7 linked regions of the Cricetulus griseus genome follow. The protein of the gene in region 1 purifies or fractionates together with the protein of each later gene. This does not show direct contact. Links are inferred from orthologs where the notes say so. Each region holds a gene or a part of one and is shown in the gene's direction. Other genes may lie near its edges.

Region 1 (4,162 bases):
GCATTTGTCACATGCACTCTGGGTGTACATATTTTGTTTGTATTTGGACATAATTGCATTTTCTCTCAATCTTAGAGATTCTAAGCATACTTCTCAGCATTGGATAGTTTCAGTACACATGAAGGACTAGATGCTTTGCTGCTATTCTCGGTGGTCAACTTGACTATATCAGGAATTAACTAAAACTCAAAGAGGCTGGGTGTACCCTTCAGGGATTTTTTTAATTAAATCATTTGTTTTTAATCTGGATCTTTTGAGGTGGGAAGTTAAACCTACTTGTTTTAGCTCCAGGTGGCAAATCCATTCTCTCACTGGCAGTATATTAAAGACCAGTCAAAGACATCCAGGTTTGTGGAATGAACTAATACTGGATTCTTGGTTTTCTGTTGGTGGACAGCAATTGTTGGACTAGTTGGTCCACAGGCTGTAAGCAATTCTCATATATCTCCATCTTCATCTACACACACACACATACATATATATTCATTTTATCAGTTCTGATCCTCTAGAGAACCACGACAGATACATAACTCAATTTCCAGTGTTACAAATTCTCAGTCTTAACTCTTCATTATTGAATCTGTTTTTACGGGTCTATGGGATTTTGCCATACAGACACATATTATTAAAAGTGAATTCGGCCGGGCGCTGGTAGAGCACGCCTTGAATTCCAGCACTCGGGAGGCAGAGGCAGGCGGATCTCTGTGTGTTGGAGGGCCAGCCTGGTCTCCAGAACTAGTTGGAGGCCAGCCAGGGCTACACAAACGAAGCAAATTCGAAGTTTCTTTCACTCCAGCTGCCAGATAACGCAACAGGGGTTAAGAGTGTATACTAAGCACATTCCTAACTCCTCTTGGTTGAGACAGAGGGACTCCCAAGGTGGTTTTCTAACCCTTGACAAACGTTGCAATCTTCCTTACACACTTTCCCGCGACAGCAGGGGGTAGGCGATCTGCTCTCCGAAGTTGTTAATAAACAACCTGGAGCCGGACAAAGCTGAGCAAACCACAAACACGGCTTGTTCAGGAGAAACCCGAAGTCACCGTCCTGTTGCTTTTTTCTGACGCGGCCGGGACTCTTGGCGCCAGCCGGTTCTGCGAGCCAAAGACGCCGAAAGGAACCGCGCTTTCTCTGCCCCGTGGGGTCCGCCACGCGTCTTCCTGTGCGAGCGAGGGGCCCCGGGGCCCAGCCAGGATGTGCACACCAGAGATGGCGGTTACAACTGTCACCTCCCCCAGATTTGAACTATTTCAAACTTGGCTCTGGCGCCCGCCCGCTCGCTCGCCCGCCCCCCCTCCCTCCCCTCCCCCTCCCCCTCTGGAGAGCGGTTCCCGCCAAGGGCAGGCCCGCCCTCCGGCCGGTTCCCGCCACCGCGGCCTCCCCGCCTCCTCTCATCACAGCGGGCTTCGAGGCCTGCCGAGTGCCGGGCCCCGGCCTGCCCGCGGCGCCCCCGACAGGTACCCGACGCCGGCACCAGAACAAAGACGGCGACCGGGGGGCGCCTTCCACCGCGCAAGCCGCTCTCCTCCTCCTCCTCCCTCCGCCGCCTCCTCCTCCTCCGAGCGAGCGAGCGAGCGCCCGCCACTCGCGCCCGCGCGCAAGGCTCTCAGCGCGTCGGGCGCTCTGATTGGACGGGCGCACTCCGGCGTCCGCCAATCGGGGCGGCGCTTGATTGCGCTAATAAAAGCGATGGCGATTGGGCTGCTGCGTTTGGCGCTCGGTCCGGTCGCGTCCGACACCCAGTGGGACATCGAAGGCAGCGGAGTGGCGGCGGCGCGTGGGGGCGGCGCGCGGGAGCGGCGCGCGGGAGCGGCGCGTGGGGCGGCGCGGGCGAAGGTAGCGCTCGCGACCGGCGGTGGGCAGTGCGGGCTCCGAAACGCGGCGCCCCGGGGCGGCGGCGGCGGCGGCGGCGACGCGCGGACCTCGGCGCGGGTGCCCGGCCGGTCTCCGGCATCGCCCGAACGGGGCTCCCTCGGGCGCCGCTTTTGTCGGCGCGGGGCCGGCGGGGAGGGCGACGGAACCTTTCCGAGGGGGCCGTGAGGTGCGGGCCGGTCCACGCGGTCCCGCGAGTGTCCTGTGCGGGTCCCTGGAGATCGAGCGCACGGGCGGGCGGGGCCGGTGGCGGGGGCTCCTGTCCGGGAGACCGATCCCGCCCGGCCGGCTGGGGCCCGCGTCGGGGCCGGGGCCCGGGGCGTTCCTGTGGCCGATCGGGACCGGCAGCTGCGAGCCTCAAGTCTCCTTTGTGTGGCGGGCGGGCGGGACGGGACACCACACACAAGTTGGTGGGACCGAGCGGAGTCCGCACTCAGACAAAGGACGGACTGTGTCTCCGGAGCGGAGCGGAGGGGAGGGCGCGACCCCCGGGGCTCCCGCCGCGCGGGTGGGGGCGTGGGGAGGCGCGAGGCGAGCGCGAGTGGGCAGGGCTCGCCTTTCGGGGCGGGCCGGGCCGGCCGGGCTGGGCTGGGCGCGGGGTGGGGGCGGGCGGGCGGGCGAGCAGCTCTCGGCACCCGGCACCGCCGCTGCGCTTCGGGACTGCGAGCGCCAGCGAGGTGGGACCTCCCTCAGCCCCGAGGCTGACATTTCCCCGAGAGCCGCGGGGAGCCTCCTCGCCTGGCTTTGTGCTAAGTTCCCTGGGGACAGTGGAGCTGCGCCCGGGGCTCTCGGTGGCCCCGGCGCGGAGGGCTCGCCTCACGGTGCATCGCCCCCTGCGCGCACCACAGGCTGTGCCGCGCGCGGGGCGACTTTTTGGGAAATGGGAGAAACTGAGAAAGCACGGGCTTTCTTTCTCCAAACTTGGTGGGCGTTTCGTGAGTTCCACTTTCTAAAGAAGAGTAATCTTTTTTTTTTCTGTTGTTGTTTAAAAAAGGGGCTGTTTAGGCCAACTTGTTTGCTTTTGAGAATGGCGACAGGTGCTAACGAAACCAACTGTCATTTACTCAGCGATTATTCCCCGAATCTCCAGGGGTTCAGTGTGGAAGAGATGATACAACTGGATGATCGAAATAAAATGCCCACGAGAAATGTGGGCTTAGACTGTAGTAGGGTTGACAGTTTCTTATTAGTGGGTCATGTTTTCCCTTGAACAATAGCTTTGTTGAGTCAGAAAAGAGGTTTGCTACCCAAGAAATTCGAATGTATTCTGGTCACAATTCCATGAAACTTCCTTTGTTTATTACATACGATCTGTAGAACCTAAATTCATTTGAAGTAAAGAATCTGCCTTTGATATTTAAAATACTTTACTACAAGGCTTTCTCGGTTTCAAAAAAGTCGTTATTAGTTTAATTTTATGGGGTTTTTATGTCACATAAAACATTTGAAAAATATTTTAAAATGCTAATTCTGTCACAGTTGAATGTAGTTTATATTTCTGGCAATTTTTGAATTTATTTTCAATTACCTTTGATTAATGGACATTAGCAGTGAATCCATATTTAGAAATAAAATATAAAGCACTATATTTTAAGCAATTTACTCATAATTTTATTTGCAAAAACGTGGAAATATTTGGGTCATAATTTAATTTCCTGTTCTTGTTCTCCCAAGTTGGAAAAGGATTGTATTCTGGTCTTAAACGAAAAGATTCCTGCTTTTTCTCTTTGGAGTCATATTAGAGAATGAGCTATTTAAAGCCCCAGAAACACTTAGGAAAATTGCATCCTAAATTATTATTTTGATGGTGCTTGAATATACTTCTTAAAAAACAAAGCAAAAGGAAAGCACAGGCTCTGCTTATTGCAGTGTTTTATATAATGAAGACCTAAAGTACATTTGCTAACTTACAGCTTCATACAAATGGAGAGAGACAAAGATGCAGTGTCAGATCTCTAGTGCTTCAGATTTGTCAAGCAGAGCATCTCAGAACAGACATTCCAGTGCTGCTCTAAGTGTTGAAACTAAAATAAGATTTACATTTATTTTAAAGTCCTGTTGATACTCTCATTCATTATGACATGAGCTAGTTGTGTAGAATTTTGGTAGAAACTTGGGTGTTAGACTTTAAAAATGCCAGTTTTGCCTGAACATGTGACTTGCCCTATCGTTGACATTTGCTATTTTGTACTTGCAACAGATATTTTTTAAAACCTCTTTTTGAAGAATTGGCTAAGATTTTTGCCTTATGTTTTGGTAGAATTGACAGTATTTTTAGGCAGTCTAAATA
Region 2 (3,500 bases), on another chromosome or scaffold:
TAACAGCTCTGGCTGTCCTGAAACTTACTTTGTAGATCAGGCCAGCCTCAAACTCAAAAGAGATCTGCCTCTGTCTTCCTAGTGCTAGGAATTAAAGACATGTGCCACCACTGGCTGGCCCAATAAAGTTTTGTTGGGTTTTAGCATGTAACCAATCATATTGAAGTTTGATAAATAAAAATTTGTGTTTCTTACTGGTGTTAGGGAATTCTGAAATCTTCATTGAAAAAAGCAATATGTTATTTTTTAAAATCCATGTTTTCTTGTGTTTAAAATGCATTTCTTAAAATTTGAATCTAAGCAACAACTATAGTCATGTGTAGAATAATGCTGTTCATAGTATGGCTGAAGTTTTCTGCATAACATGCTGCATCAGTATACTATCTTGGAATAGTGTCATGAAACAAAGGGTGTCACAAAACATGCTGGCATACCCGTAATGTCATCTAAAAATCAAGGAAGATGAATTCTATTTTCTTTTTGTGTGTGCTTTAGATTTCACTTATAAATAAAAGCAAAATTAAAAAAAAAAACAAAACTTTGCTGCATCCTTTTAAATGAATAGCTATAAGAAGCCGCCATTCTGAACTAGTCTGGGATATTTGAGTATCAAAAACATAAACCAGAACAAAAAAGACTTGAGGCATTTCACTTTTGTCTTAGTTTATATGAACTATGCTTTGAGTGCTTCATGGAGTTGTATAATTAGCCACATTTTAAGTTTGACTATATTTGACTTTTGTCAGAACTTTGAACAGGAAGAAACAGTTATCAACTGATGTAGCCATTCATTTAGAAGTATGTAGCAAAGTAAATGTGAAGGTTAATTTTTATTTATTTATTTAGTTTGATTTTTAAGAAATTTATTATGTATATAACACTCTGCACACCAGAGAAGGGCACCAGATCTCATTATTACAGATGGTTGTGAGCCACCATGTGGTTGCTGGGAATTGAACTCAGGACCCCTGGAAGAGCAGTCGGTGCTCTTAACCTCTGAGCCATCTCTCCAGCCCCTAGTTTTTATTTTTATATCATTATTTATTGTTTTTATTTTTGCAAGTGAAATTAAAGTAAAATTAAAAACAATAGAGGGTTCTTTCCCTCTTTTGAATTTAGTAGGGAAGCACAAAATACATCAGGAGTGAGTGTGCTCAGATAGTAAGCCACTGATCACATGAATTCACAGTGGCCAGAGATCATTTTATTTTATGCTTTTACTTGAATTAAAAAAACTCATTTAGTTGCTGTTTATAACAACTTGTATTGAATAATTTGATTTGTTGTTAAATCTTTTAAGTACTTTGAACCATAAGAAAAGGAAGTTTTTGTTATCTTTTTAAACTACTAATATGTTGACTGCAAATAATAGAATAACCTTTTTTCTTAAATTATCTTGAGCTTTTCTCTCAACAGAGGATCACAAGCTTTAAAATTTTTCAACACACATCAGTTAAAATGTCAGTTACAAAGACACCCAGACTGTGCAAATGTGAAGCAGTGGAAAGGCGGTCCTGTCAAGATTGATCCCCTGGCTTTGGTGCAAGCGATTGAAAGATATCTTGTGGTTAGAGGTAAGATATCTTGTGGTTAGAGGTATTTTCCATCTACCTACTTTACCTGTGTTGTTATGAAATTAGCATTAGAGAGTATATTGCTGTTTCTGATATACCTTAGGTATATCTGCTTCTACTAGAAATGGACATATGTTAAACTTCCTTAATGGGCAGTATTTCAGAATTTTGTAGCTCTTTCTTTTTCGTATAGTAGAATGTCTACTTCTTTTTAAGAAAATAAAAGTTTAACCAATGTGTATAAACTTCTATCTGACACCTAAAATTTCTAGATAACTATCTACTCTCCCCCCTTAGGATATGGAAGAGTAAGAGAAGATGATGAAGACAGTGATGATGATGGATCAGATGAAGAAATAGATGAGTCTCTGGTAAGTTATTTTTTACATAGTAGTATTGTAGTATATGCTCATCATGGCTTTCCATGGATTCAAATGGCCTCATGTCAACCATTGTTGGAAAAAAATCACAAAAATGAGTAATTGTTCTAGTAATTAGTGACTTATTTTAGTGTATTTATATAATCATTTTGTTACTAATTTCTTGTTGAATTTGCTTATAAATTGGAATAATTTTTAGTTGTGTATGTAGAGGGAAAAAATAGACTAATATAGGTTGAGTATCCCTAAAATGAATTCAAAATCTGAAATCAAATGGATGCTGCATATGCAATATCTGCATTTGCGAATATGTGGTAGGTTGTAGAAAAAAATGGAAATTACATTACTTGTACCAATATTCAGTTGGCTTCAAAGCTGTGGATGCAAAATACGAATTGTCTAGACATGGGGTCCCATCCTTGTGTATATGCAAGTATACTTAAAACAAACAAACAACAAAAAAACAACACTTCAAAGAAAAAAATTTCAATTTCTGAGCATTTCTGTCTTTAAGCATTTCAGGTGAGTGATTTGGGCTTCCGGAGGATCTGTAGTTTTAAACACCCACCACAGGTCTTGTTTTCCCAGCAGATATGTCTTGGTTAATACACAGATGTCAGTACTTATGCTTATATGGACCTTTCTTTGCTTTATTCAGGCTGCTCAGTTTTTAAATTCAGGAAATGTAAGGCACAGGCTACAGTTTTATATTGGAGAACATTTACTACCATATAACATGACGGTGTATCAAGCAGTGCGGCAGTTCAGTGTACAGGCTGAAGATGAAAGGGAATCTACTGATGATGAGAGCAATCCTCTGGGAAGAGCTGGTATTTGGACAAAGACTCATACAATATGGTAAGTCTGAACTGGTTTCTCTTGGAAGTATATGATCTTTGTTTTGGAATTCTTACTAAATTCATGGCCCTATTCTATGAGGAGAGGAGAACCTAAGCCTTTCCATATTTAATATGCATGTGTGTATTCCTCATTCTGTCTACTAGAAAACATGTTTATAGGCAGTAGTCTACTTTTTGATTCATTTCCGGTCTTTTTTTTTTTTTTTTAAGATGTATTTATTATGTATACAGTGTTTTGCCTGCATGCATGCCACACACCAGAAGAGAGCACCACATCTCATTATAGATGGTTACAAGCCACCATGTGGTTGCTGAGAATTGAACTTGGGACCTCTAGAAGAGCAGCCAGTGCTCCTAACCTCTGAGCCATCTCTCCAGCCCTCAGTTCAGGTCTTTACTGGAGTCAAAATGATGTGGTATTAGATTATAAGTTTGATAGCTCTGAGTCCTGTGGCATTTGGACACAGCTTTTGTGCTGCCTTTAGTGTCTGCCACTAGTAGAAGAGAACATTTCCTAACCTGGGAAAACTTGCTTACTTAATATTTTCTTTTAGGAAAACAAACTCTTGAAACCCTGAATCCAGATAGGGAGGGAGAGTGTAAACTTCAGAGAACTCTTAGGAATTCTGTGACTTACACATTAGCTTTGTTGAATATAGACATTAGCTTTTTTGAATAATTTTCAC
Region 3 (3,951 bases), about 9.8 Mb from region 1:
GTCTCTCTCTGTGTGTACTGGGGGGGAGAGGGGGGTGAGAGATACGCTTTTATTGGGTGGACATCATTTGTACCCAACTATCAAATAAAGAAATTTTGTTGTAGACTTTACGCATGGTTGTTTTGCCTGGGTGTGTGTACATGTGCGCCATGTGTATGCCTGGTGCTTCTTGAGTTCAGAAGAGGGCTGGCTTCAGGTCCTCTGGACCTGGTCTGATGGATGGCTGTGAGCGACTGTGGGTTCTCTGCAAAAGCAGTCAGTGCTCTTAACGACGAGCCATCTCTGCAGCCCTTGTTACGGCTCTTAAATAAAGGTCTTGTTAGTCCTGGTAGGTTGTAAACAAATACCGTAAGCTTGCAGAAGTGTGGCTTCTGACGTGTGCTTTGCACAGTGAGGCTATGGGCTTTTCTCTGTTGGGCTCTCACTTGGCTGTCCTTCAGCGCGGGTGTTGCACCCATAGCTGCCACACCGGGCCTGGTGTGAGTCCCAGCGCGCTCGATCCGCATCCCCTCCCTCTGCCTGCCCACCGCTTGGAACTACGGTTCCCTGCCGCCCGCTGCCCATTGGCTGGCTGTGGGCACGTCACCGGCTGGGTGCTGGCCCTGCCGCCCTGGCTCGCCCGCTCGCCGGCCCTGGCCCGCTCGCTCGCCTGCCCGCCCGGGAGGGAGGAGCGCAGCCGCACCGGGCTCCCGCGGCAGGAGGTGTGGCTGTCTGCCCAGGTGCAGCGCCCAGGCGGGGCCGCGCGTGCGCAGAAGGGCGGGGCGACAGGAAGTGTGAATGGGGAGGGCGGGGCCGCGTGCGGAGGCGGGGCTTGGAGTGGCCACGGGGGCGGGGCAGCTAACGGATGTGGCATGGGGCGGGGCTGGGCCCTGACCTGCAGGCTGGCTGCCAGCAGGGTTATTTCCTGCCGCTCCCGGGGCGAGCCTCCCGTCCGGAAAGGGGGCTGCAGGGGTCCCCTCGTCCTGCCCGGCCGGCCGCGCCCCCAGCCGTGCGGTGCCCTCGGGGCCTGCCGGGGGTGAGGGAGGTGCTGCCTGTCCGCCCCTCCGGCTTCTCCTCCCTCTGGTGCTCCCCACCCACTACTCCTCCCTCCCGCCCTCCCGCGGCCGACTCCTCCCGCCGCCGCCGCCGCTGCTTTGGCTGCTGCGTCATACGCCCCAGAGCCGCTAGGACGGAGGGGCTGGGCCCCGGGACCCCCGGCCTCCTCCTGCACGCCCTCGGCGTCCGCACGCACTCCGCCCGCGCCGGGGCTCGCGCCCCTAGGGCTCTGGGGTCTGCCCCTAGCTGGCTCCCTGCTGACCCAGCTGTCACCGGTAAGAAGGAGGCGGGAGGCCCTGAGCGGGGGCAGGGAGGGGGCCGGGGGTCGATGCTCAGCAGGGGGCAGGAGAGCCTCTTGGCACCGGCTTAGGATCCGGGCTGGGGGGACTCGAGTCCCTCCTCAGACCGGCGGTGTAGGGTAGCGGAGACCTGGACAGGGACACGCCCCCCTCCTGGGGCACTCGGGGAAGTTATCTAATCCCAGGGCAAGCAGCCTCAAATTTGAGGGTGACCTAACATAACCTGGCACCAGGACAGCGGTTCTAAATGAGACACACAGGCCTGGGGAGGCGGATGTCTCTACTCAGGGAAACATCTCCAGAAAAGCTCCCAAAATATCTCTGGGCAACCGAGCGTCCCAGTTAGGATACCTCTAAACAGCTGGGAAAGGCGAAACTGAATGAATGGTAACCTTGGCTCTGAAAGCATCTTTTCCCCTAAGGCCCCAGGGAGCTGGGATGCTAGAGAACCAGGCTGGGGACCAGGGTGACCCACCTCCTTAGGTGTCTAAAGGATTCAGTGACTGAGCTTGGAGGTGCTTGGTCCCTTATCCTTGACAGTAAAAGCAGACAGAGCAGCCAAGCCTTCTTAACATTCATAAACTCTTCCATCGTATCTGATTAGCCCCTCCCAGGATGCAATGGCGCAGCTCCCCCGGCTGAGCCGCTTGGGTGCACCCTCTCTTTGGGATCCAGCTTCCCCTGCTCCCACCTCAGGCCCTAGACCTCGACTTTGGGAGGGTCAAGACGTGCTGGCTAGGTGGACCGATGGGCTGCTGTATTTAGGCACCATCAAAAAGGTAAGAGCCAACTCTGGGCCCCACCATGGATCCTCTCCCTCTGATTCCTGCTCCCACTTTATAATCTTTGCTCACCCACTCCAGGTGGACAGTGCTCGGGAGGTGTGTCTGGTCCAGTTTGAGGATGATTCCCAGTTTCTGGTTCTATGGAAGGACATCAGCCCGGGTGAGACCCTTCATAACTGCAGAAGCTGGAGGGTGTGGGGGACACTGGCTGAAGTAAGCCACCTGACACCTTGTCCCTCACAGCTGCCCTCCCTGGGGAGGAGCTCCTCTGCTGTGTCTGTCGCTCTGAGACGGTGGTCCCTGGGAACCGGCTGGTCAGCTGTGAGAAGTGTCGTCATGGTGAGAGGAGAGGGCAGGATACTTGAATGGTACAGTTTGCCCTGGGTCTTCTGGATTGCCAGTTGTCTTCCTAGCATGGGTCTTGTGTCTCCTATCTTGGCCAGTCTTCACCCTGTCACCTCATCTCAGTACAGGGAGAGGGAGCCATAGGATGAAGATGACATAAGCCATGCAAGGTTGAGGGTAGCTACATACATCTCTCTCTCTCTCTAAGGTTGAGGGTAGCTACATACCTCTCACTCTCTCTCTCTCTCTCTCTCTCTCTCTCTCTCTCTCTCTGTCTTTTAAAGATTTGTTTATTTATTATACAGTGTTCTGCCTGCATGTACAACTTCAGGCCAGAAAAGGGTACCAGATGTCACTACAGATGGTTGTGAGCCACCATGTGGTTGCTGGGAATTGAACTTAGGACCTCTGGAAGAGCAGCCAGTGCTCTTAACCTCTGAGCCATCTCTCCAGCCCCCCCACCAAACACACACCACACACACACACACACACACACACACACACACACACACACACACAGTAGGACCATGGTCAGGATATAAACGCACAAGGGAAGGCTGCCGTGTACGAGCACCAAGCCAATGCAGGTGCGCACACAGTGTTTGACTCTCAACATTGTCCTTATTCAGCTTATCACCAGGACTGTCACGTTCCCAGGGCCCCAGCCCCTGGAGAAGGAGAGGGCACATCCTGGGTCTGCCGCCAGTGTGTCTTTGCGATTGCCACCAAGGTAAAGGCACCTCTCTGCCACTTCCTATGGGAGCCTCCCATGGCCCCTTCTCTCCTGCCTCTCTGAGGTTTCCACCTGTTCCTCTGCAGAGGGGGGGCGCCCTGAAGAAGGGCCCCTATGCCCGGGCCATGCTGGGCATGAAGCTCTGTCTGCCGTATGGACTAAAGGGGCTGGACTGGGACGCCGGGCACTTGAGCAACCGACAGCAGAGCTACTGTTACTGTGGAGGCCCCGGGGAGTGAGTGGTGGGGGTGCTGAGTTCTGGGGTGGACGCTGTGGTGGTAGAGCCTGGAATAAAGGGGAAGGGGCAGGCTGAGGGGAGCCCCGAGGTGATGGGAGGTGGGTGAGGGTTCAGGGTGGTCTCAGGCAGGCTGTCTTCCCCTGAGGTGGAACCTGAAAATGCTGCAGTGTCGGAGCTGTCTCCAGTGGTTCCACGAGGCCTGCACCCAGTGTCTGAGCAAGCCCCTCCTCTACGGAGACAGGTGAGCCCAAAGGAGGCTGTCCAGGAAGCCCAGGGCGCCCGCCTGCTGTGCTCCACCCACGCCCAGGCCTCCCAGCGTTCGCTGTCTACCACTTGTAGAGTTGAACGAGGTGCGTTCTCTGTCCTCATGTCCAGATTCTATGAATTTGAATGCTGTGTGTGCCGGGGTGGCCCTGAGAAGGTCCGGAGGTTACAGCTTCGCTGGTGAGATGGATTGTGCCTTCCTTCCTTCCTTCCTTCCTTCCTTCCTTCCTTCCTTCCTTCCTTCCTTCCTTC
Region 4 (3,500 bases), on another chromosome or scaffold:
TTGATCACTCTCCCGGCTCCTCTCCCTGGCATTGTTCTTTTCTTTTCTTCTTTTTTTTTTTTTTTAAGACAGAATTTAACTAAGTTGCTTGGGCTGCTAGCCTCAAACTACTCATCTTTCTGCCTCTACCTCTTGAGTGGCTAGGATGGAAGACATGTTACACAGCACCCAATAGTACCAAAACATGGTCAGTGTCTAAGCTTATGTGCCCTGTGGTGGTTGGATTTTTATTTTTGAGACAGGACCTCATGTAATTCTAACTGGCCAATACTCAGTGAAATTGAGTTGCCTCTGCTTCCTCGGGCCTGGGATTAAAAAGAGTGAAACACCACACCTGCTGTCCTTGTCCTGTTGGTTTTGAGGCAGGGTTTTTCTATGTAGCCCTGGGTGTTCTGGAACTCTGTCTAGCCCTGACTGTCCTCAAACTCAGATCCAGATCTGCCTGCCTCTGTCTTCTGAGTGCTAGCTAGGATTAAAAGGGTTTGCCCTGTCCTGTGTTTTTAATTCAGATGAATTAGGAACCTTTTCTTGGTTAACTTTTAGATTGATTTTATTTGAAACATTACCTGCGTGTAACACATGTATGATGGTGTCCAGAAAGCATCTGATGTTCTGGAATTGATGTTACGAACATGAATTGTGGGTGCTTGGGGACCACTGGGGCATCTGGACTACTCCCTGGTGAATATGATTTGATTGTGTTGTCCTTGTGCTGAATTCTTTCTGTTTTTAATGTTGATGACTTAATGTTTTTAATGATTTGGAAATTCTTCAGTGCTACACCCATTGCCATAGCCTAAGTATAAAACGTAAAGCATGCTCTCCTATCAGTATATATTAGTCTATAGTTGTCAACAACAGAATCTTGGGTGTGCGAGTGTAGCTTAAATCTCTTGCTAGTTTCACTAGTATCTTGAGCAAATATATTTTGGTGGTGGTTTAAGTTAGAGATACTGCCAGGTGGTGGTGTTTCTGGCTTTTAATCCCAGGCATAGAAGGCAGGCAAATCTGAGTTTGAGGCTGTGAGGGACACCTTGATCCATAGAGTGAGTTCCAGTATAGCCAAAACTACAGAGAAACACTCTGATTGCTTCCTTACATAGGCTTTTGTTCCTTGATTTGTTACAGCTAATGTTCTGTATGTGTGTGAATGTTTTGCCTGAATGTATTATATCTGGTGCCTGTGGAAGTCAGAAGAGGTTGTGGGTTCCCCTGAAACTGGATGGTTCTGAGGAGTTAGGGGTGGTTGCTAGTCACCATGTTGGTGCTAAGAATCAAACACTGGTCCTCTGAACAAGTATTTTTAACTGCAGAGCTATCTCTCTCTACAGCCCCTTGAATTAATTTTATAGTAATTTTTTTAAGTTTGCACAAAGGGTATGATTTTCCAACCATGCCACAAATCTTAAGACACATGGATAGAAAGTATGGATCCTTTTGATGGAATGGAGTTAAGAAGAAAATGTGTGGTCAAGAATTTTAGTGTATGATAAATAGAAATGATAGATTAGAACATACAATAGAACAATAGTTACTAGCAAGAAAATAAGTTGAGTAAAAAAAGTATTGAATTGAGTGCACCAGCACTCAATTCCAAGCATTTAAGCAGCAAGCTCAGCTTTACTGGCCTTGGTTTATATGAATGAAATGAAGAAATACACCTTTTATACAGAATCTTTTACACTTGGCTTTTGGAAGTAATTTACATTTGCTAAGCTGTCAGAACAACCAATAAAAGAAAATGGTAGGTATAACCAAGTACCAAGTATTATCACTCTTGAAGTTATATAATGTTCATTTCAGGGGCCCTCCTCGCCAAAGACAGCCTAGAGAGGACGGCAATGAAGAAGACAAGGAAAATCAAGGAGATGAGACCCAGGGTCAGCAACCACCTCAACGTCGGTATCGCCGCAACTTCAATTACCGACGCAGACGCCCAGAGAACCCTAAACCACAAGATGGCAAAGAGACAAAAGCAGCCGATCCACCAGCTGAGAATTCGTCCGCTCCCGAGGCTGAGCAGGGCGGGGCTGAGTAAATGCCGGCTTACCATCTCTACCATCATCCGGGTAAGTAGTCATCCTCTGCGGTTCACTGCACTGTGCACTGGTGCAAAAGAAACTAAAAACAGTAATAGAGTAAAACAAGCACTTTATTACTGTTCACTCTAATCCAAGTTAGACAAAATGTCTCCCTTTAGATCAGTCTTCATGTTGTATGTTTTGACTATGAACTTATGTCTGTCGGTCAACTCTGTGATCTTAGCAGAAAACTAAGTCTTGCTCCTGGTTCTCTGGAGATATATTCCAGCACTAGAAGCAGAGGCAGGCAGATCTCTGAATTTGAAGCCAGCCTTAAATCCTCCAAGCCTAGCTTCCATTTGGCTTTACTTGCCGATAAAAGACTAAATTCAGCCTGTCAGTGGTGGCACACACCGTTCATCACAGCACTTGGGAGGCAGAGACAGGGGGATCTGAGTTCCAAGACGGCCAAGGCTACGCGGGGGGGGGGGGGGGGGGGCAAGCAAGAAAAGAGAAGAAAGTATCTCTGGCTCTGGGCTTGTCATTTTCTTCCCCTTTGTATGTGCTGAGTAGCAAAAGATCATCCATATGCAGTAATGTCCACTCCTGTTATGAATCATTCTTAGGCTAAAGCAAAATGAGGTAGTTAAAATGTGACTGATTGGTCCACTATGTGAAGAATATGGTAAATAATGAGTCTTTCTCTTTGCAGTTTGGTCATCCAACAAGAAGAAATGAATATGAAATTCCAGCAATAAGAAATGAACAAAGATTGGAGCTGAAGACCTTAAGTGCTTGCTTTTTGCCCGTTGACCAGATACACTAGAACTATCTGCATTATCTATGCAGCATGGGGTTTTTATTATTTTTACCTAAAGATGTCTCTTTTTGGTAATGACAAACGTGTTTTTTAAAAAAAAAAAAGGTCTGGTTTTTCTCAATACACCTTTAATGGTTTTTAAATTGTTTCATATCTGGTCAAGTTGAGATTTTTAAGAACTTCATTTTTAATTTGTAATAAAAGTTTACAACTTGATTTTTTCAAAAAAAAATTAACAAACTGCAAGCATCTGTTAATAAAGGTCTTAAATAATAGTGTCTGTCTAGTTTTGTCATAATTTGGTAATTTCCTCCCATTTTCACGATTTTTAGAGTGAAGCGGTTTACAAATGGGTGTCCTCCCCCCAAAGGGACACTTTCTTAAGATCAGAGTCTTTATCTGGGTGCTTAATCAGCTAGTTGTCCATTTTTATGTATAAGTGAGTTAGTCTGTCCAGAATGCTCTATGTAAGACATCAGCTGTGGAGTCTGGAGATGGAAAGGTTTCTTTTGCTGCAAAGTAAAAGGGTAGAGGAGTTTTGCAGTGCTGTTGAAAGTCCAAGTGATGTTTCCCTCTATAAAAGCTCCATAGAATATAAGATACTGCATTAGAGAATTTGGGATGGGGAATAGTGGGTGCTCTTTGTCAACCAAGTCTAA
Region 5 (4,225 bases), on another chromosome or scaffold:
GAAAATAAGACAGGCAGGCCTGGGACGAGTGAGAAGCTTGGCAGTGAGAAGAAGGTGGCCTCTGCTGGATGGAGGATGCCATGAGAGACATAGAAGCTGCTGAGCAGCCCAGCAGCAGGCTTGTCCTCTCTCCCTCTCAGTACCAGCTCAAGCCAGACAGTCTTCTCAGACGTGGACTCCACGGATGCTGCCAGCACCTCCGGCTCTGCCTCCACCAGCCTCTCTTATGACTCCAGGTGAGCTTCCTGAGGGCCTGCCCCAGAGCTTTGCCAGGGATCGCAGTCCTCACTGCTGTAGGAAGACTTACTCTGCACTTCCCAGTCTTGAGATAGAGAGGTAGGGGAGGGGTGCTGGTCTTCTGTGACTGAGTCTACTCTGGACACTCTGTTCCAAGTCACCAGAATGGAGGCTAAGGTGTTGTGATCCCTTCCACTTGGGACGTCCTTTGCCTGATAGCCGTGTGATCCCTCTAATCAAGCAACCCAATTCTGGGGCTGTTTTATCAGAGTCCTTTTCATTCTGGGTGTCTTGGCCTCTATGTGTCATGACTGTGTTTGTCTATGCCTCAGACTGCAGGGCTCCTATTATCAGTTCCTGGCTGGCTGATTTGTATGCCAGGGTCCCTAAGAGGAAAATCCATTTATTTTAAGCATAGAAGAGAGGCAGACTGTAGGGGGAGGCAAAAGACCCTGGTTGTCTGGCTAAGGGTATAACTTGTTTTACTGCCGGGCACAGCCCCTCTTTACTCGGGATCCTCCATCTTCTAGAGACTTTGTGGGAGTAGACTTAAACTGCAGTCCATGTCTATAAAGATGGAATCCCTTCTCTATTTTCACACGTCTCTGGCTGGCTGCCCTTCTGTAGCTTTAATTGGATTCTAGGGATCAAACCCAGGCTTCATGAATACTAGAGAGTGCTCTATCACTGGGCTATCACCCCTAGTCTTTCTGCTTTTTGGGTTTCTCACTAGTGCTTCAGGTCATGGCAGCCATGTCTCAGCATCCATTACCATGTAGCTTGTCTCTTGTATCTTTTTGCTAATACCCCTGCCTGTGTGGTGCAGGTCCTTCAGTTCCTTTCCCTGTGTAGCTCATCCAGCTCATCCAAAAAAAAAAAAAAAAAACAGGCAGCCTAAACAAGGCCTTTGACTGTGGGACTTTGGAAGCATACACAACCCACCCTTCCGGATACAAAGAACATTTGCTATTTAAGTTAAGCACACCCAGGTTTGACTCCTGGCCTCTGTTCTCTAGCTGATTTCTTCTCTGGAGCCTCAGTTTCCCCATTACAGGACTACTGTGAAGTTCCGGCAAGATAATTCACGCCCAGGTCCGGCACGGTACCTAAGAGACTCTCGGGGTAAGGAACCTAATCATTGTCCCAGCTCACCCCTTTTCCCTCCTGATACAGATGGACAGTAGGCAGCCGCAAGAGGAAGCTGGCAGCCAAAGCATACGTGCCCCTGCGGGCAAAGCGTCAGGCGGCTGAGCTGGATGGACGCTGCCCCTCAGACAGCAGTGCAGAGGGAGCTCTGGGCCCTGAGCAGCCAGATGAAGGCATTGACAGACACACGTTGGAAAGCATCAGTGAAGATGACTCCTCCTTGTCTCACCTCAAGTCATCTATCACCAACTACTTTGGTGCAGCTGGACGGCTGGCCTGTGGGGAGAAATATCAAGTGTTGGCTCGGAGGGTCACACCAGAGGGCAAAGTTCAGTACCTGTTGGAATGGGAAGGGACTACCCCTTACTGATTACCCCTCAGGAGCTACCTAGACCCCTGGAAACCAAAGGAGGGACAGAAGAAGCCATCGGCTCCCTGTTTTCTCCAGGCCAGGGTGGTGGAGGGAAGCAGAGCAGGGCCATAAGGGCCTGGCTATAGCTCCTGCCTGCTGCCCGCCAGGCCAAGGCCTGTGTGCTGCTGTACCGATTGCCTGTGTCTCTAGACCCCGCTGACTTTCTCATGCCCCTCGAACTGTTTGTTAGTTCCTCTGGCTCCATGGTACCCTGGATGTGACCCTTGGTGATCCTGAGGCCTGAATCTGATTGTCATTGTCCCCAGTTCTCTATCTTTTTACCTCACCCCTTTTGGGTATTTTGTGTTGTCACACATCTTCTATGTGCACATGTACGTCTGTCCTTCTCTGGGTTCTCACTGGGACCACACTGAGAGAAAGGAACCCCTGAGGGTCTTCCACTTTCTCACCAACACCCCTAATGCCAGGAAGGTGTCTGAGAAAATTTGGAATGCCTGGGACCCAGAGCCTGGGGAGTGATGAGCTGGGTCTCTGCTGAAGGGACCAGGATCAGGGTCTTTTACTGAGGCTCAGAGGGAAGACTATAGGGTCCCAGAAGTTTGTTCCAGCAATAACCCTTCTCTGTTGTCATGGAGTGGAGCCTGGCCTTGTTCTTAAACACTTAGATCTCAAAAGAAATGATGGGGAGCCAAGCCAGGTCAGTTTAAATCCCAGACCCATCATAGTCCAACACCACACCACTGTATGGACACACACACACACACACACACAGAGAGACACACACACACACACACACACACAGTCACATTCCCTCTGGGCACCCTGGCTCCTGTCCTTGACCTCTTCCAGGGATACATGCTGCTGGGATACATGCTGCAATTAAATGTGAAAAACAAACTCCTACCCCCTCTGGCTGTAAACCAGCCTTGACCCCCACAGAGAAGCACAAAAGACACCCCTCTCCTGAATAGCACCTGTCTCACCCTGGAACTGACAATCACTTTGGGGACAGGCTGGGGTTTTTTCAAGGGCCTGAATCATTCCCTCCTTTCATAAAGGAAGCCTTTGTCCTTGTGGTATAAAGAGAACCCTTAAAATGGACAAACAGCCCCATCTGGAGTGAAATCAAAATTAGGAGGTGGGCAAGAAGCCCTTAATTTGCCTGCAGCAATATTAGAACTTGGTTGGAAAGTGGAAAGAAGTGCCTTTGGGGTGGGAGGCAGGGGCACCAGATTGGGACCAGCCTCCCTGACTGCTGCTGTGGCTTCCAGCTGGGCAGGGTTTTGCAGGCTGCCAGCTGGAAGAAGAAGATGGCCAGCATGGGAACATCAGACCTGTATTAAGGGGGCTGATATTTCCATGACTAGGCCTGACCCCTCCACACCTGTCTGCAAGCATTCAGGGGGTCCCAGGAGTAGGTTAGATGGTCCTTGCCTTAAACCTCAGCAATTGTAGTGCCTTACAAAGGGACATCACCTCTCACTCTGGACACAGCCACCCATTTCCCTCTGCTTCTCTCTCTTGTCTCAGGCAAGCATGAGCAGATGGCATTGGTCCCCGTTCTCAGTCTCACAGCTGCTGCCACTGAGATCCCCAAGTGGGGCCAGGTCCCAGGCCAGCAGTAGTGTGGGAACTGGGGTCAGATTTGTGGCTTCCTGTTGGCTTCAGTAAGCATGCCAACCTCCAACATCTGCCCTCCAGGCTGCTGAGAGAGCCAGAGAGCAGGCTGGCCATCTGCCTTTCCCCTGCTGGGCCTGAAGAGCAGGAGAGGAGTGTGCTTGTTCCATTGGGGAAACCAGCCCAAGGCCTGAGCAGGTCACCTGACCCTCACACTAGCTCTTCACTCCCACAGATAATGGCTGCATTACTGCCAACTGACAGTGTAACCCTGTGCACCTTTGAAAAGATTTTGGTTTTGAATTGCTGCTTTGAATATTTGTTATATTAAAGTTATAATTGTTGTCTGGTTTACAGTGTAAATGTGTCCTTGGAAAAGCCTTCACATTCCACTCTTGGCGTCCTGGAGATTGACTGAGGATGTAAGGCCATCGAGGCCACCCAGCAACTGCTGTTCTCTCAGCTGGGTTCCCACCCTTATTGCCCTTTGACAACGTGGAACCTGTTTTTTCTCCCTTTACTGTAACAGCAAGTAACAGCAAGCATTGACCCTTAGGATTTAGGAATAAACCAGAGTGGTGCACATCTTTAGTCCCAGCACTCAGGAGGCAGAGACAGGTAGAACTCTGAGTTGGAGGCCAACCTGGTCTACAAAGCTAGTTTCAGGACAGCTAGGGCTGTTACACAGAGATACTCTGTCTTCAGAGAGAGAGAGAGAGAGAAAGGAAGAGGGAGGGAGGAAGGAAGAAAGAAAGAGGAAGGAAGAGAGAGAGAGGAAGGAAGAAAGAGAGGAAGGAAGAGAGAGAGGAAGGGAGAGAGAGAGGAAGGAAAAAAAGAAAGGAAGGAAGGAAG
Region 6 (3,500 bases), about 63 Mb from region 1:
TTTATTTTCATGTGTATGAGTGTTTTTGCCTGTATGTATATAAGTACACCACATGTGTGGAGCCCACAAAGGCCAGAAGAGGGCAGGGCATTCCCTGTTACTGTGGCTACAGGCAGTTGTGAGCCTCCCTGTGGTCCTGGAACTCAACATGGATGCTCTGCAAAACCAAGTACTTGCTCTCAGCTGCTGACCCCTTACAGGATTAGTATTAAGTCCTGGGGTTACCTAACTTGACTACTCAAGTTTCTTGTTTACATCATGCACTCGTTGGGGTCAAAGCTTATGCTCATCTAGCACAGTGTGATGCTGTAACAGTAGATTAGTTGTAAAAGAGTTTACTCATGTTTCCCTTGTAGTTTTGAAACTGAGGTTTTCTTTTGCTTTTTCTTTTTTTGCTATTTTAGCAAAGCGTAGAAAGTTTTCGTCAAAACCAGTTGTACTCACAGAAGCCCAGAAACAGCTTATGATATGCCACCTACCTCAAGTTCTCAGACTACACCTTAAACGATTCAGGTCAGTAATGCTAGTTCTACCAGTTATGAGTAATCTGGTCATTCCTTCTGTTTAGGATGCTTCAGAACTTAACATATACATATGACGGATTAAATTTGAACACTATATACCTGGCTAGTGGATGGCATCCTTCAAAAAAATGTAGTTACTATCTTTAACTTGGAACAATAGGCATCATCCATATTTAATAACTGAGTTTTGTTTGTTTGTTTGTTTGTTTTTTGAGGTAGGGTTTCTCTGTGTAGCCCTGACTGTCCTAAACTAACTCTGAAGACCAGGCTGACCTCGAACTCACAGAGATCCGCCTGCCTCTGCTGCCTGAGTGCAGGGATTAAAGGCATGTGCTACTATTGTCCAGCTTTGTTACTGCTTTTCTGAGCCAGGACCAGGGCAGCCTGGAACTTACTATGTAATGTACCCTAGGCTGGCTCAAATTGAGTATCCTTCTGCCTCAGTCTCCTGGACACTCATAAGAGTATATCACATATCCTAGCAGTGACTATGACCTGCTATATATATTTTAATATATTGTTTAATACTCAGGTATACTTTTAAAAAATGTAATTTGTAATGTGTATATTTTACTCAGTTGCTTAAAATATACTAATCAACATAGTTTGGGGGCTACTGAGAAGGGTCAAAACACCTGCCATCAAGTTTGATGACTTGTGTTCAATCCGCTGAACCCCACCCATGGTGAGAGAACTGAGTCCCCTAAGTTGTCTTCTGGCCTTCACTCACACACTGTAGTATGAACAGCTTCCAAAATGAACATCAAAATAAAATGTAGTAAGTGTAGTGGCACACACCTTTAATCCTAGCACTTGGGAGTCAGAGGCAGAAGGATCTCTGTGAGTTCAAGGGCAGCCTGGCCTTCAGAGTGAGTTCCGGGACAGACAGACAGGGTATACAGTGAGACCCTGACTCAAAAATAAACAAATAAAATCTCAAGTTCAATTCAAAGCCTTTTTAAACATGTATCTATTTATTTGTGTAAATGCATGTTCATTCACACATAAGAATGCCACAAAACACATGGAGAGGTCAGAGGACAGCTTCTGAGAATGGCTCTCTCCTACTGTGTAGGTCATGGGGATTGAACAGTTTGACGGGATTGGTGGCAGCCACTCTTTCCCACTTAGGCTGTCTTGCTTTGCTAGCTCCTAAAGTAGTTTACATAACTTTTTTTTTTTTTTCCCCTCAAAATAGGGTCTTTCTGTATAGCCCTGGCTGTCCTGAACTCTCTCAGTAGACCAGGCTGGCCTTGAACTCAAAACTCAGAGATCCACCTGCCTCTGCTCTCTCCAGTGTTGAGATTAATAATTTCTTAGCCAGGCAACGGTGGTGCACACCTTTTAGACTCAGTACTCAGGAGGCAGAAACAGGCAGATCTGAGTTCGAGGTCAGCCTGTTCTACAGCCAGGGCTACACAGAGAGAGACCCTGTCTCACACCCCCCCCCAAAAAAAAATTTCTTAAATTTCTTAAATTCAAGTACAGCATTACACTGTTACAGTACACTGTTAACTTTGACTGTTTAGGTGTTTGTTGTAGCAGTTAATTAAGATGCTGTGAGAGATAGTAGGTTCCTTTCTCAGGATTATAGAAATAATGTCACATTTGAGGAAAGGTGGTAAAGTGTGTAACTTTCCCAGAGCCTGTCTTAGGGCACTTGGGGACCTCAACCTTTCAAGTCTTAGATAATATGGCCACACCTTTAGGAGTCCTATCTGAAGCATAGATCCTAACAATCTAGCACAGGACACCTACACCCACCCTGTTCCATACTCTCTGATGCTTGAACAGCCACTTCTTCAGAACCTCCTGGGACAACTGATCTTTACCCCATAGCTGCTCTTAGCCACTCAACCATGTCCCCCTCCCCTTTTAATCCTATGTATCTCATGGCCCAGTGTTGAGCTTCATACAGCATGCCCAAAAGATAAAGTATATAAGTGGAGGATCACTTAAGCCAAAGAGCAACATGAACAAGGAAGGTATGGAGGGAAGAATAGGGCATACAATAAAGGTTTTTCAAAACAGGGTTTCTCTGTGGCTTTGGAGGCTGTCATGGAACTAGCTCTTGTAGACCAGGCTGGTCTCGAACTCAGAGATCCACCTGCCTCTGCCTCCCAAGTGCTGGGATTAAAGGCCTGCGCCACCACCACCCAGCTATTTATGCATTCTTAAAACTAATGGGGCAATCTTGGCTGGATCTTTCTGCAAAGTAATCCTAAATCCTCTATGGCCAATTCAGTATTGAAAGGGTGTGTTCTATACAAATTCTTTGTATTTCGTGGTCTATGAGATCCACTCTTAAAGCTGTCTAGACCTAATGTAAAGCAAACTTTCTCCCCTTGATTTTTACTGTTGTTTGTTCCCAGATGGTCAGGACGTAATAACCGAGAGAAGATTGGTGTTCATGTTGTCTTTGAGGAAACCTTGAACATGGAGCCCTATTGCTGCAGGGAGACCCTGAAAGCTCTCAGACCAGAATGCTTCATCTACAATTTATCTGCTGTAGTAATCCACCATGGGAAAGGATTTGGCTCAGGACACTACACTGCCTACTGCTACAATTCTGAAGGAGGTACAGCCAAGAAAAACCATTTTTTTCTTGGTCTAAAACTGAGAACTTATACTTAGGTTCCTAGCAGTTTCTAAGTTGACCGCCTGACCAGTTGCCTTCTTTCTAGACAAAGGCTTTCTGCAGTTGGTGCTGCTGGATTACTGGGGTCAGGAGTACAGAAAACAGTCTACTCCCTATGTTAGTTACTCTGGCTATTCTGGAATTTGTTATGGATACCACACTGGCCTTGAACTGGAGATGTGCCTGTGTCTGCCTCCCCTGAATAATGGGATTAAAGACACATGCCATATACAAGGCATCTTTTTTTTTTTTTTTTTTTTTTTTTTTTTTGGCTTTGAGATAGGGTTTCTTGTCTGTAGATCAGACTGGCCTCAAACTCAAGAGATACCCCTGCCTCT
Region 7 (2,263 bases), on another chromosome or scaffold:
CCACGAGCTGGTCTACTCGTCTGAGAGCCTGGGCCTGGGGGAAGTGGTAGCTGTACTTGAAGGTGGTCCCTGAATTCCAAAGTTGCAGTATCATACTTTTGTCTTAGAGGGAGGGGTCTAGGATGGGTGGTTCATAGCTGGTCCATCAGAGCCTTCTGGACCCAGATTTGAGCAGCATAAGGTACTGCTGCCATCACCCCATCCTGGAGGCTTTATCCAAGGAACTGTTGGAGCTCTCTGGCTCCTCGTCTGCACGGTCATACGCAGTTTGCCTGCCAGGTAGGCCTCAGTCTGCTGAGTGCGCCACACGCAGGAAGTCAGGCACAGTGAACTGCTGCAGGTGTGTGGTAGTCTCTGGAGCTCTTGGAAAGCCTGGTGTTGTGTAATTACTTGGAAGAGGAGACTAGAAAGCATGTTCCTGGCAAGGTGTCCTAAACATGGCTAACCCGTCTGTCTGTCTGTCTCTCTCCTTTGCCTGTCTTGGGCGCGCTGACTCTTCCAGATCCCAGCTACCGTTCCTTTCACTCTGGTGGATACGGCCAGGATGCCTTGGGGATGGACCCTATGATGGAGCATGAGATGGGTGGCCACCACCCTGGTGCTGATTATCCAGTTGATGGGCTGCCAGACCTGGGGCATGCCCAGGACCTCATGGACGGGCTGCCCCCAGGTGACAGCAATCAGCTGGCCTGGTTTGACACTGACCTGTAAATCGACCTTTAGGTAAGCAGCTTATAAAAGCCAGTGTGGGTGAAGTACTTTACTCTGCCTACAGAACTCCAGAAAGACTTGGTGGGGTGGGAATGGTTTTAGGCCTGTTTGTAAATCTGCCACAAAACAGATACATACCTTGGAAGGAGATGTCCATGTGTGGAAGTTTTTCACTTTGATGTTTTTGCCACAGCTTTTGCAGCGTTACACTCAAGACGAGTAACATTTGCTGTTCTCAACATTAATTAATAGCAGCCTTTCTCTCTGTACAGCTGCATTGTCTGAACTTGCATTGTGATTGGCCTGTAGAGTTGCTGAGAGGGCTCGAGGGGTGGGCTGGTATCTCAGAAAGTGCCTGACACACTAACCAAGCTGAGTTTCCTATGGGAACAGTCGAAGTAAACTTTTTGTTCTGGTCCTTTTTGGTCGAGGAGTAACAATACAAATGGATTTGGGGAGTGACTCACGCAGTGAAGAATGCACAGGAATGGATCACAAGATGGCGTTATCAAACCCTAGCCTTGCTTGTTTTTTTTTTTTTTTTTTTTCTTTTGTTTTTATTTTTTGTTTTTTATTTTTTTTAATATCTGTAATGGTACTGACTTTGCTTGCTTTGAAGTAGCTCTTATTTTTTTGCAGTAACTGTTAGTTTTAAGTCTTGTAGTGTTATGTTCTAGTGAACCTGCTACAGCGATTCCTGATTTCTGAGAACTGAGTAATGGTGTAGAACACTAATTCATAATCACGCTAATCGTAATCTGGAGACGTGTAACATTGTGTAGCCTTTTGTATAAATAGACAGATAGAAATGGTCCGATTAGTTTCCTTTTTAATATGCTTAAAATAAGCAGGTGGATCTATTTCATGTTTTTGAACAAAAACTTTATTGGGGATATGTGCGGTAGGGTAAATCAGTAAGAGGTGTTATTTGAGCCTTGTTTTGGACAGTTTACCAGTTGCCTTTTATCCCAAAGTTGTTGTAACCTGCTGTGATACAATGCTTCAAGAGATACGGTTATAAAAATGGTTCAGAATTAAACTTTTAATTCATTCGCTTGTGTCACTTTGGTTTGTCCCGAGATGGTTGTTGAGGTTCGAGGAGGGGGAGTGCTTGTTCCTTCTCCAGCATCCCACCAGAGGAAGGAAGTGCATGTGTGCCAGTACCAAAGGGTTATTTATTAGTTTTAGCTCACCCTTCTTGCCTAAGAACCTAGCAGGCTTCCTGCAGTAGTCTCTGTGTTACACTGAGCAGTCACTAAAGCTGGACCCCGAATAAGCCTCCCTTTGGACAGTGTCCGTCCCACTGAGCAGTAAGGAAGCACTGCCTGGATTTGTATCAAGCATCATTGCGAGTGTGGCTCACTTGGAGAGGGCAATCTTTTCACGCCTTTGAACCAGTAATTATGTTTAAATGCTTGTGTTTATCTGAACACAATCAGAACCAGAGTGGGCTGCCTTCCGAGTGGCCTGCCAGAGCTGGCCTGGTGGTGGGTCTGATCAGCAGGCATTGTACATTTCTCACACAGACCTGTTAGCCAGCATTCCAGCCCTG

What was found.
Region 2: the proteins of Ezh2 (region 1) and Trip12 purify together in Homo sapiens (affinity purification with mass spectrometry; 3 studies listed by BioGRID, with this or other methods). This does not show direct contact. The link is inferred for Cricetulus griseus from reciprocal best matches to the Homo sapiens genes EZH2 and TRIP12.
Region 3: the proteins of Ezh2 (region 1) and Phf1 purify together in Homo sapiens (affinity purification with mass spectrometry; 15 studies listed by BioGRID and IntAct, with this or other methods). This does not show direct contact. The link is inferred for Cricetulus griseus from reciprocal best matches to the Homo sapiens genes EZH2 and PHF1.
Region 4: the proteins of Ezh2 (region 1) and Ybx1 purify together in Homo sapiens (affinity purification with mass spectrometry, with the first as the bait; 3 studies listed by BioGRID). This does not show direct contact. The link is inferred for Cricetulus griseus from reciprocal best matches to the Homo sapiens genes EZH2 and YBX1.
Region 5: the proteins of Ezh2 (region 1) and Phf19 purify together in Homo sapiens (affinity purification with mass spectrometry; 10 studies listed by BioGRID and IntAct, counting the BioPlex papers as one, with this or other methods). This does not show direct contact. The link is inferred for Cricetulus griseus from reciprocal best matches to the Homo sapiens genes EZH2 and PHF19.
Region 6: the proteins of Ezh2 (region 1) and Usp44 purify together in Homo sapiens (affinity purification with western blotting; 3 studies listed by BioGRID, with this or other methods). This does not show direct contact. The link is inferred for Cricetulus griseus from reciprocal best matches to the Homo sapiens genes EZH2 and USP44.
Region 7: the proteins of Ezh2 (region 1) and Ctnnb1 purify together in Homo sapiens (affinity purification with western blotting; 4 studies listed by BioGRID, with this or other methods). This does not show direct contact. The link is inferred for Cricetulus griseus from reciprocal best matches to the Homo sapiens genes EZH2 and CTNNB1.

What each region holds. Positions count from the first base shown.
Region 1 is NW_023276806.1:222,346,834-222,350,995, forward strand, and holds the start of Ezh2 (histone-lysine N-methyltransferase EZH2), read left to right. Parts: upstream 1-1,362; 5' UTR 1,363-1,457; intron 1,458-4,162. UniProt on the Homo sapiens protein: Polycomb group (PcG) protein. Catalytic subunit of the PRC2/EED-EZH2 complex, which methylates 'Lys-9' (H3K9me) and 'Lys-27' (H3K27me) of histone H3, leading to transcriptional repression of the affected target gene.
Region 2 is NC_048595.1:436,881,013-436,884,512, reverse strand, and holds part of Trip12 (E3 ubiquitin-protein ligase TRIP12), read left to right. Parts: intron 1-1,401; coding exon 1,402-1,574; intron 1,575-1,871; coding exon 1,872-1,945; intron 1,946-2,612; coding exon 2,613-2,812; intron 2,813-3,500. UniProt on the Homo sapiens protein: E3 ubiquitin-protein ligase involved in ubiquitin fusion degradation (UFD) pathway and regulation of DNA repair.
Region 3 is NW_023276806.1:232,131,055-232,135,005, forward strand, and holds the start of Phf1 (PHD finger protein 1), read left to right. Parts: upstream 1-1,151; 5' UTR 1,152-1,310; intron 1,311-1,938; 5' UTR 1,939-1,954; coding exon 1,955-2,113; intron 2,114-2,197; coding exon 2,198-2,279; intron 2,280-2,362; coding exon 2,363-2,458; intron 2,459-3,093; coding exon 3,094-3,194; intron 3,195-3,283; coding exon 3,284-3,432; intron 3,433-3,580; coding exon 3,581-3,676; intron 3,677-3,810; coding exon 3,811-3,879; intron 3,880-3,951. UniProt on the Homo sapiens protein: Polycomb group (PcG) that specifically binds histone H3 trimethylated at 'Lys-36' (H3K36me3) and recruits the PRC2 complex. Involved in DNA damage response and is recruited at double-strand breaks (DSBs).
Region 4 is NC_048595.1:32,887,712-32,891,211, forward strand, and holds the end of Ybx1 (Y-box-binding protein 1), read left to right. Parts: intron 1-1,803; coding exon 1,804-2,038; 3' UTR 2,039-2,069; intron 2,070-2,733; 3' UTR 2,734-3,114; downstream 3,115-3,500. UniProt on the Homo sapiens protein: DNA- and RNA-binding protein involved in various processes, such as translational repression, RNA stabilization, mRNA splicing, DNA repair and transcription regulation.
Region 5 is NC_048599.1:146,619,064-146,623,288, reverse strand, and holds the end of Phf19 (PHD finger protein 19), read left to right. Parts: intron 1-140; coding exon 141-236; intron 237-1,410; coding exon 1,411-1,753; 3' UTR 1,754-3,725; downstream 3,726-4,225.
Region 6 is NW_023276806.1:159,842,046-159,845,545, forward strand, and holds part of Usp44 (ubiquitin carboxyl-terminal hydrolase 44), read left to right. Parts: intron 1-404; coding exon 405-513; intron 514-2,896; coding exon 2,897-3,102; intron 3,103-3,500.
Region 7 is NC_048597.1:228,017,470-228,019,732, forward strand, and holds the end of Ctnnb1 (catenin beta-1), read left to right. Parts: intron 1-502; coding exon 503-711; 3' UTR 712-723; exon of another isoform or gene 724-1,142; 3' UTR 1,143-1,763; downstream 1,764-2,263. UniProt on the Homo sapiens protein: Key downstream component of the canonical Wnt signaling pathway.